Linked DNA regions of Struthio camelus. The protein of the gene in region 2 interacts with the protein of the main gene of each other region in a biochemical or structural test. Links are inferred from orthologs where the notes say so. Each region holds a gene or a part of one and is shown on either strand. Other genes may lie near its edges. The genes, in order: SYNJ1 and SH3GL2.

The links.
Region 1: the proteins of SH3GL2 (region 2) and SYNJ1 form a complex in vitro, tested with the Homo sapiens proteins (2 studies listed by BioGRID and IntAct, with this or other methods). The link is inferred for Struthio camelus from reciprocal best matches to the Homo sapiens genes SH3GL2 and SYNJ1.

Annotation. Positions count from the first base shown.
Region 1 is NC_090942.1:120,014,465-120,023,809, forward strand, and holds the start of SYNJ1 (synaptojanin-1), read right to left. Parts: upstream 3,532-9,345; 5' UTR 3,414-3,531; intron 2,272-3,413; 5' UTR 2,200-2,271; coding exon 2,043-2,199; intron 1-2,042. UniProt on the Homo sapiens protein: Phosphatase that acts on various phosphoinositides, including phosphatidylinositol 4-phosphate, phosphatidylinositol (4,5)-bisphosphate and phosphatidylinositol (3,4,5)-trisphosphate. Has a role in clathrin-mediated endocytosis.
Region 2 is NC_090982.1:23,657,922-23,667,379, reverse strand, and holds the start of SH3GL2 (endophilin-A1), read right to left. Parts: upstream 3,838-9,458; 5' UTR 3,731-3,837; coding exon 3,686-3,730; intron 1-3,685. UniProt on the Homo sapiens protein: Implicated in synaptic vesicle endocytosis. May recruit other proteins to membranes with high curvature. Required for BDNF-dependent dendrite outgrowth.

The DNA.
Region 1 (9,345 bases), on a different chromosome or scaffold from region 2:
AAACACTAAGGACAAACACACTGTTAACTAGTAGAGGAGAGAGACTGGAGACCTTCCTCAGGGTTCCCGTTCCTCTGTCTGATACCAATACAAGGCACAGAAGAGGGCCAGAACTTCAGTATGGTTACAGATTTCGAATTTTTAGAGAATCTTCACCAAGGTACCACCAGCGATATAAGTCATACTATAAGAAGTGAAACTTGCTTTCTTTATTGAGCCTAACTTTCAGGAATAAGTTATTTTCAACATATTGCTCTCTAATGAACTTAAACATCTGCACTAATTATTGACTACATGTTAAAAACCAATACTCCAAAATTCTTCGGAACACTCTTCCCTTGTTTCACTACAACCGTTCACTAGTCTTATGACTGGACACTTACTCACAACCCAGTGCCCACTACACAATGTCTTTAAAATAACGCTGGCAATGTCAACAAGATATGCCACAAAAAGCAGCTGTAACAGGAAAAAACAATCCTCAAAATGGTGTGTCCCATCACTAGGCCTCTAACAGTTAGTCACAGTTAGTCCAAATCACACATTAACTAAGATGCAGATTAAGCGGTATGCTAGAGAGCATTTGCTTGTAATAGCCTGTCCACTACAAATGACTCTATAGCCTGACTTCTTAAGCACCTTACAAAGGACACAGGGAGAATCACATGCCTCAGAAAAGACTATGCCATAGCCAAGGAGCACATTCACGTCTACAAGAGCCAACAGCAAATACCGAAGAAAGGAAATGTAGCTTGAATCCCACTCTTCTTTGGAACTCACGTTTCTTACCGAGTCTTGTAAGAGTAGTTGGGCAGCAGGTTAGGCACTCACACATGAAATAGGGAAATCTATGATCAATCCCTGCTGTCAGAACTGTTACATTTACATGCACTAATAAATGTTCCTGTTTTATCCAGTCATTGGGTGGGAATTAAACCCTGAGATTTACCTTTCTCAGGCATATACTTAACCATGGGACTTTTCTACCTTCAGCCTAATGAACCCTAGTTTTTTTTTGTTTTTTTTTTTTTTTTGCAGCATAGCGCTAGACCTTGTTAAGATTGCATTCCCCATTCGGCCCACTCCATAGTCTCAAGGCCAGAGCACCTTCCTGAGAGGTGTGTCTTTGAGCTCCTCAGATTTCAGGCAGTGAATCAAGCCTCTCATTTTCTGAGCATGCTAGGCTAGAAAATCATGAACAGGCATCACAATTGATTTTCATCAAAAAAGTTATTGATTCCAAAAAAAAAAAAAAACCCATCCACGGTACCTCAGCCTTCTATAAAAGGCAAATGCAAGCCTGGAAACCCCTTTGCAATCAAGTTTTTCCTTACTGAAAAATATAAACCAAACTACATTGTAAGACCTTAACTATTTGACAGTTCTCTTCCGCACTTCTCATTTTAGTGTCCTCCTACAAATCTGATTTAAAAAAAATTTTAAAGCCAAAGAATTTATTAGAAATATTTAAAGCAGTTATCACTGAAAACACGTAAAAATGACTTGGCAATGCAGAACACCTTGCTCCAAATATATACTCATTTCATTACAGGATGAACTAATATACAACAAGTCTGATGATGGGAAAAAATACTGGGCAAAATAAAGCTAAAAATCAAAAAGCCATCAAAATGTCATCACATAAAATGAGATAAAAATTATGATGATATACCATTTAAGAACATAGAACTTTTTATTATGAGGTACAACATATAGAATTCACTTTTCACCGAGCTATCACGTATTCAGATAAAGTTGTTCTGAACCAAAGGCACAAACAGATGTTGTTGTAACTTATTACAAGAAAATTTAGCATACATGAAAAAAATGTTCATGTTGAAATCTAATTTAAAGTGCAAAATTCTCTCTCAACAGATGAGAAGAAATTGTCATTTCATTTAAAGCAGAAGCCTCACCATTAGCAAGTAAGAAAACAGAATAGCTGTTCCTTGTTTATAATCCATACATAAAAAACACATAGCTTACAAAATATCAAGTCAGCCAACTTTTTACATTGTAGCTATCAAAACATATCAACTTACAGAGTACAGCCACCGCTCCAGATTCAAACATGAGACATTCTTCTCTGTTTCTGGTTTCCACTATCACACTGAATGGAGGTGGATCCAGCTTGTGATAGACACGGTATCCTTTACTGAAAGCCATTTTGCCTTTATCAGAGGCAGTCCTGTCCAACATAAGATGATGTTAGTGAAAGCTTCTTGTGCTTCCGGATACCTTCTGCAAAGCAGGTCTGACTTCCATCCTTTCCTAAGAAATGTATGGGTTTAACATAAAAAAGGTGTCACGCTCATTCTTTTTACCTCATGAGGCTTTTTTTTTTTAATCTCATATTCCAAGGGTATATAAGGAATAATTAAAGACAACATAACCATGTTTCAAGAACGTGATTATCGACATATAAATAAACTCCAGAAGGTTTATTTAAAAGCTTCTCTGAGACAACTTGAATTTCTTTCATGATATTTAACAAACATGATTTATTAGAAGAACAGAAAACACGATTCTCCTCTAGTCTCCACAAACACAGAACAACTGTCTTACTCATATGCTAAATGTTGAACGAAGGGGACCAGAAGCCTGGGCAGGCTTCAAATTTTGCAACAACTTTACTGATGCTGACCTTGTACAAAAGGACAGCGAAGTTTAATTGGGAAAGCTGTTAAGAGGTTTTAAAAGATCAAACAGAAACGTTAGCCTGCTGGTGTTGTTTTAATGAAAGCAGGGTTTTGTTTGGCTTGAAACCCTCCCCTGCAGCGGCCAATGAATGAGACATTGCAGTATTGTACTAGTGAAACTGCCTAAAAGCCATAAAGGTAAGAGCTTCCTCTAAAATAAAAAGGGAAAAAGAAGAAACCATAAAGAACAGAGGGACGGGGCAGATTTTTAAGGGCTTAGGCTACTAAGGAAACACACAAGGAGCCAAATTTTAAGGGCTTAAGCTGAGCAAAGAGATGACGAAGGGAGGCTTCTGCTGGAAGCCGGGAGCGCGTTTCCTGCCCTGTTCCTTCCCTTGAGCTCAGCGCCGGTAACCTCTGCGCCGGACGGCCACACGGACTTTGCGCCTCCAACACGGAACAAGCTGCTGACCCCTCTCCATCCTCCCCCGCCCCGGGGCCCCGCCGCCCTTCCCTTGGCGGGCAGCAGGGACGAGGACACCAGCCGCCGCCGCCCCCCCCCATCGTCCCAGCGGAGCCGGGCACCGTGCGCGCAGCCCCTCCCCGGCCCCCGCGGCGCTGACAGAGCCGCCTCCATCTTGTCTGCCGCCGCCGGCGCCCCGGCGGCCCCAGCTCCGCAGCGGCGGCAGCCGGGCCGGCTCCGCGGTTGGCTCACGGGCGCGGCCCCCTCCCCCGCCACCCCCGTCCCGGCGCTGCCGTCCGCGCCCCCCTCACCGGCCGCGCCACCTGCTGCTGCTGCCGCCGCCGCTGTGGCCGCCCGCTCCGCTCCGCGCCGGGGGAGCCGGCGGCACCTCACTTCCGCTCCGGCCCCGCCGCGTCCCTTCCGCACTGCGCCTCCCGCGGCCGGAAGGCGGCAGAGGGCGTGGAGAGGGGCGGGGCCGGGGGGGCGCGAGCCTCGCGGGCGGCCGTTGCAGCGCCGCCGCGGCGGCCGTTGCGGCAGCCGTCGGGGCAGGCAGGCAGGCAGGTGTGGGGAAGAAAGGTTTGCTGAGGCGCCCGGGCTGGCCGGTGAGGGAGCCGCCGCCGGCGGGCTGCAGGTTAGGGTGAGGGGTGCTGGCTGCTCGGTCCTTACCTCGTTGCCTAGCGGGTCCGGGCGCGGCCGTTGTCACTGCGGTGTTTTCCTGTGTCACCTCGCACCCCCCAGCCTCGGGCCTGCCAGCACGGGGAGCTGCTGCTTGAGGCGCCACGGTGGGAGCAGCGGTATGGAGCTGGAGGGAGCCTGTGTCAGACCTGCGTCCTTGTGAGTGACATCCGTTGCGAAGGCCCTGTGCCCTCTAAAGCAGGGGCGGGCTAAACCTGTGCAGAGCATTACCAAGCACAGCGCCAGCCGGGCAAGCCCTGCCTAGTGTGGTGGTTCAGCCTGAAGAAACCTAGTTCCTTAGGAAAAAGGAACTAGAGAGCCCTCCGGAGAAATTCTTCTTTTGCATGGTCATAAGCCAATGCTGGATTGCCAACATGAAAGTTGAAAACGGAGCATGCAGTGGGGTCATAGTGAGGCTGCTTTGAAACACGATCAGTCCCCAGACTCTGTTGTGTGTTTATTAGAGATGCAGCAGAGAGAAAAATGTTTCAGATAGGCTCATGAGTAGTGACACAAACAGAAAAACCTCCCTGCACAAAATGTGCCATGGGCACAGAAGTGTCAGTGCCAGTGCTCTCCGAGCACTGTTGGTAGGGTAGGAACACTGAACCATGGCTAAAGCCTGCATTTTTCTGACAAGCTTCAAAAGTTTTAGGTACAGACGTTAAACATCTCTTTGGAAATTTCCATCCAGCCGCTGCAGCCTTTTAGTGGAGGAGTACTGCTTCACTATATTGTGTTGATACGTTACAAGCTGCTGAGCAGATGACAGCAGGCTTGAGAGCTATGCTAAAATCAAGAGAAGTGGGGATACTCTGTGCTTGAGACAAAGCTGAGGCCAGGATAAGTTTGAATGGAGAGCTGAGGTAGAAAAAAATCAGTAAAACTGTGTAGAAACTCCCTTCACTGAGACTATTATTTGGAGATTGAAGAATATGCATAAATGGAAGTGAGTGAAATACTGTAACTGTCTACCCTAGAAGGACTTAGTGACCAAAGCTGGGCCACCTTTCATTTCGGATTGTAGCATTTCTGCACTACCTTCTTGTCCAAGATCAATTCCCTTAACAAAGTTTAGACTCTTAAAACTAAAAGACCTTTTTTTCTTACAAATTTTATGTTAAAACTCTGAAAATAGGTTTGAAATCTGCATCCAAAATAGCTCTAGTCTATTCTAAAGAGGCAGTAGATTGTATGCATGGCCTTTTTATATTTAAATATGACATATCCCATATATTTGTTATGGGATAAGTTCCAGTTGAGTGGAATATACTATCTAGTGGCTCAGAACACAAAGCAGAGAAAATATTTGTGATGTTAGATATAGTGTAAGTACTGTTTGTGTATTTTTAGTTGACTACCTTCCTATGCACATTATGACAACCCCCGTATAAATGTTCTATAGATGATCAAAATACTGTATTTTAAAAATATTTTAAAATGAGTTTCATGATTTCTGAAATTAGTGCATAATTGCTAATAACTTATTACAGCTTGTGCAGAAGACATCTCTCAGTTGCTCGTGGTAGACATTAAAACTATCTCTAGCATAGCATGAATAAACATAAACTCATGAAACTTTTACTAACGAGAATGTAAAAATAAAAGAGAACAACAAAGTGGCTGCTGTGGAAGCAAAGAAAGTTTATCCTCATTTTATCCATTCATAAAGATCATTAACCATGACAGTAAATTAAGTGTTGTTTTACAACATACACTGATGGCTAAATTGATATCTATTGATAGGCTAAAACAATTCATGCATTAGATATATTTACTTCTTTTTCTGCAGATAAAAGAAATGCAGATGGGCTGTTTTTTTTGCATATGGCCAGAGATATTTTGCTACATGGTAATATAAAATATTTTCTGATTAGGATTTAGGATTATGTACAAAAACATCAGCTAAAAGCTGTGAAAAAAATTATAGTAATTTAAAGCGGATTGCAGATGAGTGTTTTCTTTGGGTGCTTTTTTATTTGGGTACTTTGTTGCAAATTCTACATTCTTTAAGCATGATTAAGATGGGAGCGCGGCATGACATTTTCAATGAACTTCTTCATTTCTAAGCCTTGCCTCAGTCATCTGTTAGGGTTGCTAATACTGTGCAAAGCTGGACACTAAAGCAGGATGAAAGCTTGGCTTTCGCCATCCGTTACGTTTCGTCAAAATGATATGACGCCCTCACCTCCAGAATGGCCCTTAAAGGACAAAGTCATATCCACTTTGATTCCAATGGAAACTTCTTGGTTGACTTCAATGGGCTTCACAGTACAGCCTATTTAAAACTTCCTTGGTGTCTGAAAGTGGAATTGGCTCAAGGCTTCTCAGCAACATAGGCAAGATTTACCTATGGTGTCCAGAAAGATGAGGAAGCCCAGGGCCGTACTGCTTTTGTCACAAGGAAGACATATGTAAAGGCAGAACGAGGATACTTAAAAGGGTGGAGAAAAGGGAAGAGGAAGATTTCTAGGAAGCCAGGCTTGCAGCTCCTCCTGCAAAATGTGGAGTAGGGCATAGCCACTGCAACACATGGGGAGAGACAGCCTCAGCCCCAGCAATAGCTGCCATTTCACATACCCCACCTTTCCCCTTGGCAGCAGCAGCAGCCCAGCACTCCAGTGCCTTGGCAAACACACAGCTGGCAGCGACACCATTGGCTATTTTTGCCATGCCACACAGTGTTCAAAACACCTTTTTCCTCAAGGTCATCTGTGGTGCTGTACATAATTAAATTGGCACTTCAACAACAAATACATTAAAGCTTCCAAATTACATTTAATTTGCATCTCCTTCCTAACACGTATCACAGGCCTCATTCCTGCAAACTCCTCCTGCTCATTAAATCTTTAAAGCTGAGTATGCTATATCCCTCATGTGTTCATGGATGCAGGTTCTCTGAACTGTTAGCCTGTTACTTGAGAAAGTAACCACGTGTGTATATGATAGTTTCAGCATCTTCACTTCAATGAATGCCATATCCTGATTGGAGCTTTTGGGTAAAATGGTAATAAGTAAGTTAAGTGTGATTTTAAGCTACGTGTCCCCAGAATGCCTGAGCCCTGTAGTCAAACAACCTACGCTCCACTTAAGAGTTTTGCGCCTAATGTTTTCTGTTAGCTAGGTATCACAAAAGGCTGAAGACAGCAAACAGAAAACTCTCAAGAATGTGTGTGAGATTTAGGCGGTGAAAATTTGGGCCTAAGTATGTATGGAAAATACCACATGAGATCTTGGGAGATATATCTCTGCTTTACTTCTGGGCTCTGATCTATAAAAACATTTAGACACGCACATTGTGCACAAAAGTAATGCAAGTGGAGTGAATAGGACCATTCACGTATTGAACAAAAACATATGTTTAAGTGATTGTTGGGAGCAGAGACTTAAATTGTAGGCCTTTGTATTCAGTGTGTCTCTATGCAGTTATCTTGCACCCATTCACTTTTTTTTTTGGATATTTAGGGCAAGAGTTATAGTTACATACAGAAATTAAGAACTCTTGTACAAAAAACAAACAACAACAAAAACCCCACTATGTTATTTCAGACAAATTCAACTAACAATTCTACAGCTATCAAAACATTTTTACTTGGAGTACCAAATCCAGGGCAGAAGTGCTCAACTCTTAGCAAAGTGCTCCATTCACTTTGTTTCATTTATCTGAGTTTCTCAGAAAACAGAACCATTCCACGTCATGCAACAAAGATTTTTTGAAGCCTCCTCAGAGTTCTCTTTTCTCTACATTCCACTTAATGGTGGCTCTCACAGGAATGTCTTGCTTGTGACTATACATGTAAAGGCCAATGGTCAGATCAACTGTATTGTTCATTTCACACCCTTTTACAACACTGATTCTAGGATATTTTATTTTCATAGGGGCAACTAATAAACTTAGGATGACAGGGATACTACTTTTAAGCATCATCATTCATAAGGACATAGAGTTCAGCATATTGCAACAAACCTCACAAAGTCATTATACCAAAGCCATACATCACATCAAAGCTGCAGGTACAAATCTCTCCTCCCCTCGGTGTATATATTCAGGATTCTTTCAAAAAAGTTTTTGTAGAATAACTTAGAGAGAACTGAAAGCAGAACTGGAGATGAGCAAACTTGTGCAGAAAGAGATGCATCTCAAGAGAGGAGAAAGAGGAATCACACACATCCACTTATCTGCACATTTTTTCTACAAACTTCTCCATTTCAAATTTCAGCTTTCATTTTGTTTTCCTTTATAGGAAAGGACAAGATTTTTTCCTTTGCTACTGATAACCTTTAGGGCACACCACAGGAATTCCAAATACCTGTAAGCATTCTGTAATATATTGTCCTGTTCATCAAAATTTCAGAATGATTGAATGTTTTACCTGCTGTATTTTCTTACACATTGAACATATTTCCTGTTCTAGACAACGGTGGTCACTACTAAAGGGAGTACTGGACTTTCTCAAGAGTCCCTATGGAGTTTTGAGTGGAAATAAGATTGTCATGTCCCTTAGTATGTTAGTAGTTCTCACAAGCTCTCATCATCTAGTACATCCATGTATAACATGTTGTAATTATTTGTCAATTCTGATATTGAACAGTAAGATATACATGGTCAACTGTGGGAGAAGTAATTTTAAAGCAGTTGTCCTTGGATTATACCTCAATCCAGAAACAATTGTGTAACATTACTTAAAGATCATTACATAAAGTATGACTGCTTTGCTCCTAAGATTTGGGTCAATAAATAAGATACAGGTAAGAAGCAGTAGGAGAAGTAAAAGTGGAATTTGTAAATATAATTTGATAACATTATTTACATAAAGTCTAAGTACCTATACAACTGTAACCATTTATACAGAGAAAAGGTGCCACATTGCCCAAAATGGGAAGTCAGATTATTTATCAACCATAAGTATACTTTGGAAGTTTTTGCATGTTGTTCTCCAAATACAATATACTACTCTAATGGGGGAGGAAGGAGAGACTTCCTAAGCATGCAGGGGCAAAGACACCATAGTCACATAGTCCATCCTTCCTCTACTGCAATGATGCCAAGGGTAAGAGAAATAGCTGCTGTTCCACAACACAATTATGAAAATGACTACAACCTACTTAGGGAAAAAAATGTTCTGCAGCTGTAATTTATAACTGAGTTAGAAGGAAGATTCTCTTCATCCCTCCCTTACTATTCTAGCCCTAATCCAAATTGGAGCAAAATGCCCATATTTTTAACAGCAGCAGTTAACAAAGCTGTCTTTCCAAGACTGAGCTCCTTTAGTAGTGCATACCTAGTAATATTAAAGTCACAAACCTGCGTTTTAAGTTCTGAATGGCATATTTATGCTATTAGAAGAAAAGGAAAGTTTGAAATGACGATCATTGGCTTGAACCTACAGCTTTTCTCCTGCTTGAGTTATGGCTAGAAGGCGAATGTGAGGGAATGATTCATTACCAAGTATTCTTCTGAGACAGGCAGTAAAGAGCACGAATAAACTCGATTTGCAAAACAAGTCTAGTTACCCAGCACACCACAGGGGGATGTGGGTGGACAGCAGAGCAAGGCCAAAGAGTGCT
Region 2 (9,458 bases):
CCGTTCTGTCAACAAAGTCTCGCTGCTGCCCGGACAGCAGTCTCTCAAGGTTGGCACAGCTGAGATAAGGAAAGAGTTCTAGCAGATTTAAGGGGCCCTTAGGATGCAAGATGTTGAGTCTCGCCTAGGTATCCAAACCACGCGTCCAGCAACTTCCCCTCAGCGACCCCTCCACGTGGCTCCCTGGGGTCCCCGTGCAGCTTGGAGAGTAAGTCCTTCATTAAATCTACCCTGTTTAACCCCTCATGAACCTTGAGTGTCTCTCTATGCTGGTATTCGACCTTCTCTGGCCCTCTTTGTAGTCACACAAGATAACTTAAGAAATACTTGGCTAGATGAATGATAGTCTACAAAAGCGTTCATCAAGAGATGAACTTCAATCATACTTATATTCCCTTTGATTTCTTTGAAACTACTCACAAGTCTTTGGTGATGCATACACTCAGGACCTTTCCTGGATCCTGCTAATCAGCAGACCCTCTTTGAGGACACTATTACTACACTACATGTATAAACACCCATGACTTTCAACCTCTGCCTCATCACTAATACACTCTTCTTGCAAATGAACTTAGGTGGGCAGAAAGATTTGAATTAGCCCAGAATCCCTTTGAAGCCTTAAGGATTTTTACTACCTGGGTAATAGCATAGTAGGACTGGAGCCTCATTTGCTTCTTATTAAAGACTAGGGTTATTCTTTTAATCTCTTACTGTGTACTTCATAGGCTGCCTTGTTAAACAGGGAAGCACGTTACTCTCCATCTGAAAGGCTGGGCATGTAACAAGCTCCTGATGACCCACTGGAAGTCTTTTCTTCAGCTGTTTCTTCCAGTAAGAATCCTGGGTTTTCCATAAAAATACCTATGCATTTGACTTCTACCTTGGTTAAAACCAATTAAATTAAATCATGTTGTATCAAAAAAGCAAAATACAAAGGTAGAAGCCCAGGTAAAATTGCAGTCCAGGCCTTTTGAGTCAAATCATTCCATTCAGATTGCTATTTAAGCATCAATCACTGGTTCCCAGGGGAATCCTGGTCATGGCCATTCCCAAGGTTTTTGTTCATTTCTTTCCCTACAGAATCATTTCTTTCCCTACAGAATCATTACGTTGTGAGTGTTTAGTTTTGAATATGCCTCCCAAATGCCATATTTTGTGATGAATGTAGTCACGTGGAAACAAAGCTCATGCAATTTTAAAATAACTCTCTCCAAATGCCCTACACTGAAATCTGTACCATCCAAAACTACTCAACTGTTCTTAAAACTACAGACAAACCCGTAGAAATAGTTCCTGGCTTCTCTTTACTTCTACAAACTCAGGAGTACTTCCTCTGAACTTGATGGTGCTGCATCAAGGTAAAGCCATTAGTGTTGTGAATACTCCATTCATTCTAGAAGAAGCAAAGTCTCCTCCTGCTTTGCAATGACTTAGTGCTATTGCCACTGTTGCAAGGAATTTGTCAGGCTTGAACTTCCTGTCCTGCTACATGACTTCTAGTTAAAAACAGAACATCAGTATTTAATAGTGCCAGCAGTCTTTGTATTTTTGATGGGAACTATATTTTGCAATAATACTATTATACACTGATAATCATGAAGTCTGTATGTATATGGCATACTAATGTTACAACAAGAATAATGACATTAACAATAGAAACCAAACCAAGGTCTGCAGAAGGCTAAATCAGTCTAAAGAACACAGCAACCTCAGAAACAACTTGAAGTTGTTCCCTGTATGATTTAGGGCTACATTATGACACATTAGTTGGAATTTTAATGTGAATAAGAACCAAGGAAATGACTTGGAATTTCTAAAACTTTGAATCAGTTCTTTTGTCTTATCTAGAAAGCTTCACTTGTACTGGCAAAAATCAATCCACATTCCACATAGAGATTAATCCCTAGTCATAAGGATTACTCCCTAGAGCAAGGTCAGCAGGACTGAGCCCTTGATTTCTCACTCACACTGAAAACAAGCCAATAAGCAGGCCAGTTTTGCAACCTTATTTGTGAGTCATTTTCATACATGAATGTGTCTTTGTGGCCTGTGTACACATAATCTGTGAAAGTCAAGGCTGGGCCCAAAAATCCGTAGGTCATCTGATGTCAGGCTGCTAAATTTGGCCTCAGAATTTTACAGTTTTGGTTCCAATCAGTTAAACTCTTTCTCCTTCCAAATGACACTACTGCTGCTAAAATGAATCCCGGCAGTCAGTGCAAGAGTGTCATCTGAAGGATAGACCAGTATGCACACAGCTTTTACAGTGTGCTCTGTCCAAAAAAGAGTTTACCCCTGCTGCTTTGCAGGCGTATTTAATAACTTAAATAAAGGAGAATAAGTAGCTGACGTTATTTTAAAAAGTGTACTTCAGTTTGCCTGCTTCTTAAACAGGGCTGACACAGATCCTGCAATTCTTATTTTAGGTACAAGATGATTCCCTGGCTTCTAATAGCACTAGAGAGCATGGGGATAAATAACAAATGAAGTAGTAGCAGCAGCAGACACTGCAGTATGGACCCAGGTGCCCTAGATGTACCTTACAGCACGTGTCATGAGTGTAGCAGGTTTCCGTGAAGGGCATTTAACCAACAATGCAGCACAATGTGGTATGAAAGCTGAGACACAATGTCACCTGATGCACGCGTGTGCCCACGCAGAGCCTGACGTATCCCATTGCGCTCATGGTCATAAGGGCTGTTGGTGTAACTACATGGCAGGGACAAGTCGCAGTTTCCACTCATTCTTGTATTAGTCAGATTTTGGCTGTACTGGGGGGCAAGGGGAGGGCAAGGAAGCATGGCACATTTCTTGCTGATTTATGAAGCCAGTGTAAGCTGGAGGTCCAAGGCCTGAGTGGGGATCTCTGCCAAACAGCTGCCCCACTGCAGTGAGGTTCCCCCACATAAGCACGGTCCTTACAGACCGGCCCAGGACCTGCCCCTGCACTCCTGGGGCTCCCATACCCCACTAGAAGGGGCTGGGGGGGGGGGGGAAGTCCAGGGGGCAGAGGGCAGCTGAGGACCTGCACATTTATGTGCACTCTCACACCATGTGCACTCATGCACCACTCACACCCGTGCACCCCCATGCATACTCACACCCACTGGTGGGCACTTATACACCACACATACCCATGCACTGTGCACCCCCATGCATACCCACACAAACACACCCATGCACACTTGTGCTCACCCACACATAGCACACACCTGTGCACACCTATGCACACCCCCACACACCCATGCACAATGCACCTCCATGCATACCCACACACACACACCATGCACACTAGTGGACAATGCACCTCCATGCACACCCGCACACCATTCACACTCATGCATACCCACAACACACCCGTGCTCTCACACACACTCATACACACCCACACAGCACACGCATGCATACCCACACACACCCATGCACAGCACACACCCCCGTGCACACTCATGCATACCCACGCACACCCGTGTTCACCTATGCACACCCAAGCATCTTCACGCACCCTGCACCCCCGTGCACAGCCGCGCAGCCTCCTCCCCCGCACAGCCTGCACACCCGCGCAGCCCCACACATCCTGCGCTGCCCTCCCTGCACGCCGCCCAGCCGGGCACCACGCACCGGAGGCCAACCGCGCCACCGCCACCACCCGAGCACCCCACGCACACGCCTGGCACCCGCGTACCTGGGTCGCCTTGTGGAACTGCTTCTTCAGCCCGGCCACCGACATGGCGAGGGCGGCGCGCTGCACCCGCGCCGAGCCGAGCCGAGCCGAGCCCAGATGCCCGCTGCCCGCTGCCCGCTGCCCGCTGCCCGCTGCCCGCTGCCCGCTGCCCGCTGCCCGCTGCCCGCTGCCCGCTGCCCGCTGCCCGCTGCCCGCTGCCCGCTGCCCGCTGCCCGCTGCCCGCTGCCCGCTGCCCCCGCGCGCGCCGCGCCAGCCGCGCGCCCGCGGAGCCTCTCAGGCGGCGGCCGCGGTGCGGGGCGCCGTGACGTCAGGGCCGGCCGCGCGCGGCCCTTTAAAGGGCGAGCGGGGACGCCCTGCCCCCCCCCCCCGCGCCCCTCCCCCCCGTCCCCGCGCTCTAACGGCCGGCGGCGTCCGCGCCTCGCCGCCGCGGCGTCCTGCGTGGAAATGAGCCCGCGGCGAGGGGGAGGACGGGGCAGTCACGCGAAAAGGCGGGCGGGCAATGAGCGTGGTCCGGCTGGCCACACCAGGCTGCCGTCCTCGGGCCTGGTTGGCCTTGGCCAGGCAACGCTCCGGCCACTGACTGTGGTCTAACGCTGGCTCACCGGGGTCCCCCCTTTTCTTGCCCCTTCACAACGTCCGAGTGACATGTGGGAGCGCAAATCTAAAGCCTGCCTATTCTGACCTGCTGGTACGGGTACTGGCTCGAAGCGAAAACCCGCACAGCCAGAAAAAAGTCAATATCCTGTACTTCAGCAATTCAGTCCTGTAGATTATAAGCGCTAACAGAGCAATAGTTAAGATTGATCGGGTTATGCCAGCAAAAGCCTAAACAATGTGAGCAATGTGATCCAAATGCTCTCTGCAGGCTGGACCAGTCCCTGCATATGTGTGTTGCCGTTACCCGACTAGAGATGAGCACTTGCACAAAACTCATGTTTTATCAGCTGGGCGAAAGAAGCCATGCTGTGTTGGCTTTGTAATTCTGTTACTACAAAGATTCAACACGAGCTAGTTAGGCAGCAAACACATTTTCAGAAGCACTGAAAGCTGTTTCTAAGCTGTACGTGGACTCACCGTGGTGTACCTCACGCGCTCGGTCCCGTGACCGGCACCGAGGAGAGGTGCACTGGAGCACCGTCCGGTCCCACGTACGGCCTCCGCTCTGCGGGGTGTGGGGAAGCAGCTGGGCCACATACCTGGGTCCAGGGACAACGCGACGCCTCTCGATCACAGGGATGTAGTGACTTATTGCTGTTCTTATGAGTGTCTTACAGCGACGGGCGGGATCTTGGACACCAAAGTCCCATTGGTGCATTTGGATCGTTACCAGAGGGCTTTCATCAGGAAGAAAGACAAACCAAGAACATTGCTCTGCTCATCAGAGAGTGGGAAACTGTGATAGCCTTGCCATGGGCAAGTAGGCACCACCTTCTGGCCTGGTCCCAAATACACGCGGAGCAGAAGAAGCGCTTGCATTCACTTTAGTATTAATGTGATTTTAGAGGTTGAAAAGTGAGACTATCTGGAATTTCAAGGTCCGGACTGGGAGTTTCTTGCACTAGCCGTTGTGCCTTTAACAGAAAACTCATGTTGTGCATAGTTCTTGGGACAGGGCTCTGTAGTCTGCAAGTACAGCAAGAGGTAGAAAATAGACCTATGAGAACTAGAAATGGTGTAATATTATTTATTTATATAAAATAAACATATGAAATGAACAATATTTTTCCTCTGTTATGCGGTAACTGAAATAAAATGGTTAAATTTCAGGATCTGAAGGCTGCCAGTGGTATGGCAGAAAAGTACTTTCTTGTGTGATAAACATTTTATATGATAAATGAATAAGAGACTAAATAAGAGACAATGTGGGCCTATGAGGGGTCCACCACTTTCAGGTTTTAGGTGATAAGCTGGAGACAGAGCGCTTCATTTTCAAAAGTGTTATGCCCCCGCAGCTCACAGTGAGTGTTGATTGGAATTACTAGTATGTTGCCCATCTGAAAATCATCCCAAACAGTAGCTGGATGCCCTGACTCACCTTATGGTGGTGGTTTTGCGCACATGGATTCTCACAGCCCAATCTTACACTTCTGACTGTGCTTACGCTTTTTTTTAGAGCATCTATATTCCTGGGAGTGGAACATGCTAGTATTAAAACAAGATTTATATGTGTCCATGTCCATGGAGTTACAACCGCTTTGACTAAATTAAATTGTGATACTTGTCAGCCAGAGAATAAGAACTTCATTTTATATCTGCTCTTCAGTCCAGTATATCATTCACTTGTGACTTCTTTTCTTGGAGCAATCTACATGAATAACGCTTGGAATCAGCTTCAGGAAGATGATTTTTTTTTTTATAAACCACAGTAAACTATAACAAATGATAGTTGTTTATAATGTACAGTCTCACATTTTGTAATATATACATATTTATGCACTATACATATACCAACTGCAAATGCCATTTCGACACAAAGACATGTAATAGGCTAAGCACTTCATTTTATTTCTTATGCCAACTAAAAATTCTAATAATAGAAAAGAACAAAGAAAATGTCATGGCTGCATACCCGAGCAATAGCAAAATGCGGTAAGTACCTTTGTAGTTGCAATCCCGGTCCTCTTTCACGCATATACATTACAATTTTTAGTTGTTAATCAATCAGTCTTATTCTATAAAATAAGGTCCATTCTGTAAGTTTAGAACTGCCTGCTACTTCTAGCAGTATTTATTAGTATAAATATATAAAATATATCATGTACTTAATAATTTGTATTAATATATTTGTATTTATTATTCGTCATTATCTGATGATTTTAACAAAAAAATCTTTATTAACTTAAACCTATTGTGCAAGTACAATGGGCAGTAACATATAGGAGATTCCCCATATGTGTCAGAAATAATTACTATTTTGATTCATGAAGAGTTGTAATATGATTTTGTAAATACTGATAGTTCAATCATGATCGTACAAGAAGCACTTTTATTAATCTACATGATAATATCGTTCTGAAGATTTTAGAATAACAGTATCCCTCTCTATTCCACCAGTTGCCCAATCATTTACTAACAAACTATTCCTTGACTGCTCTCTTCAGTTTTTTAAAGAAAGCAAAAAAGCATACAAGCAAAAAACAGCCTTCCCACTCCCCCTAAAATCCCCTACTAGATCTTCAAAGCAACAATTAATTCAGGGTAGTTCAAATGTTAAGATCCTAATTCAAGAAACATTATCAGAAAACATTTTCAGAAACATTAGCAAGTGAACATAACCAGAGTTAATAGGATACCACACTTCTGAAAACCATATCTTAACCCAGTCGTCTAGACTACATTACTCAGCAAAATGTGGTGAAGAGTCCTTTCTGGCTCTCTGTCTAAGTTATAATATAAATTCTTGATGTTGTAGCAACAATTTGCACCCTTGTACGGTGTTAATCTAAAGTCTGATAGCAGAACAAGTTTTCCATTAATTTTATGCACCACTTGAACATGACTATAAACAATATTTCCTTTAACACACAATCTAGAACTGTTCCTGTTCAGTTTGCAACTTGATTTCCATCTACTGCTTCTGTTAACTTCATCCAAGCAAGGACATACTAAACATGCCTATTTATTTTCCCTAAATCTTCATTTCATTCCCTTCCAGTGATGTTTCAGTCATATTTTCTGGCCATTCTTAGCTTAATTCTCAAATTTTCCTTCATATTTCACTCAAAGGAATTTATATCCATTTTACATAGAGGGAGTCAAGGGGCAACACAGCTAGGTCATCCACAGGGATCTGAGTTTTGATCTAATTTCCATTGTCTAGAGATGAAGAGGCATAGCAAAGCTCTAGAAGACCTCGATATTTACAGATGAAAGGTCTGTTAAGGTCTTAGAGATAAAAATGTAGGGACCTTCCAGCAGTGACATGGGATCAAATGGCCCCCAGATTGTTGTAAGTCTTTTCATAAATGAGATAATCTAAAATTGCAACTCTACTGCTCAGGACAGAGCTCTAAAGCCAATAAGAACTAAATCTGCAGCAGCATTCACTAACTCATACTGGGAAACTCCAGTCATAAGGAAGAATGCCGCTACAGTGTCCTGAGTTTACTTTGCAAATCTCTCATCCAAATTCTGAGCAAGCTGAATATCTCTTTAAGAAACTATATGTTATTATTGTGCGAGGTGGTACAGTCTGAAGGTCATTGTGTGAAATACATGGAAAAATTCTAATTAATCTCAGTAGATCCTGAAGAATTTGACCTATATGTTTTTGATACAAGCTCCATTTCAGAAAGTTTTTTTTTTGATTCAACTAGCTAATATTTTCAACAGTGCTAAGGGACATAAGGCATAGTAAAAATCCCTTAATAAGTTGCCCGTGAAAGATTGTGCCACAAATGAAAGGAGAACTTTAGGAAAATGTGCTTGAGTCAGAGAATTCAGATACAAATTCCAGGAGAATATGATTCTCCTGGCATTCTAGATTCCTGAAAAATCCTCAGTGAAAGCAAAACACTGTATTCAGCACTTAGATAACATAAGCATATTGAAAGCCTAAGGTCAATGTAATTAAAAAGAAACTATCAGGCTTTATGAATACTACTTTTTTAAATAAGTAATTTCTAAATACCAAAATGTACTTAAATCTTCATTCACTGGGGAAGAATTTGTATATTTACAAAGGTACGTATGGTGCTGTGATAAGGACCTTATGAGAAACTTATGGGAATCCAAGGTCCAGGGTCTATTTAGTCAGTCATGCACAGTTGTTCAGGAACTGTGTAGCTCAGACAGAAACTGAAACTTAAATATCAAAGTCCTCTTTCAACATCTAATCCATTGAGCTACTCTGCAACAGGTGATCTAGCAAAGACGGGAGAATCCAGAGAATGTAAATCAGCAGGCACAGAATAATCTTATGTACATAAACCAATGCTTAATTCAAAAAAAGAGTAAGAAAGGCCATCAGCATGGGCATGGAACATACAACTGCAAGACGCAAAGAAAACAAAAAAAAATTCTTTATCTCTCAAAAAATTAATTCCTCTGCTAAAGAGGAACTATCCTGGCAGCTTCTGAAGGTAGAAACACACAAAATACAGGGAAAAAGTTCGGAGCAGTGGAAGACAGAACTATCTAATACGAAGAGAAGCAGGACATAAATGACTTCCACTGGTTTGAATTACAGGAGCCATTTCATTTCACATACACACACACCTCCCAAAAAAAAGATAAAAAGCTTTGTATCTAGCACTCAAGTGCTATTGCTCTTCCAAACACAATAAATAAATGGATGGTTAACAGCTCAGGTTTCCTATAAAATGAAAGAGTTCTTCTTTATGAAGTATGCAAAGCCTAACTGGCTGCAGTACTAATCCTCTGAAGGTAAACTTCCACAGCATGTGTTTGTTAACTCACTGTGGGCTTTTTGTCACAGTGCTCAACAGAAACCAAGGTATCTGTTCTTTCCATAGTACCTTGCTAACAAGCATTTTTTGTTTCTTTTAGCTAGCAAGAGCCTTTTCTGACAGCATGTTTTTGATAAGATTGTAGCTGAGCGCTGTTGTTTCTGTCCTCCAAGATACTTCTGTAGTTCATTTCCATGCTGAATGAGGTCTTCTCTTAATCCTACTCTTCTTCACATATGTCTTGCTTTGTTCGTTTCAATTCTGTATTTGAAAAATGCAGGACAATGCAATCATGACTCCTGACACTGTAGTTTACTACCAGGAAGCTAGTATGTTTGTGTGACTCACTCCACTGGTTATTAGTG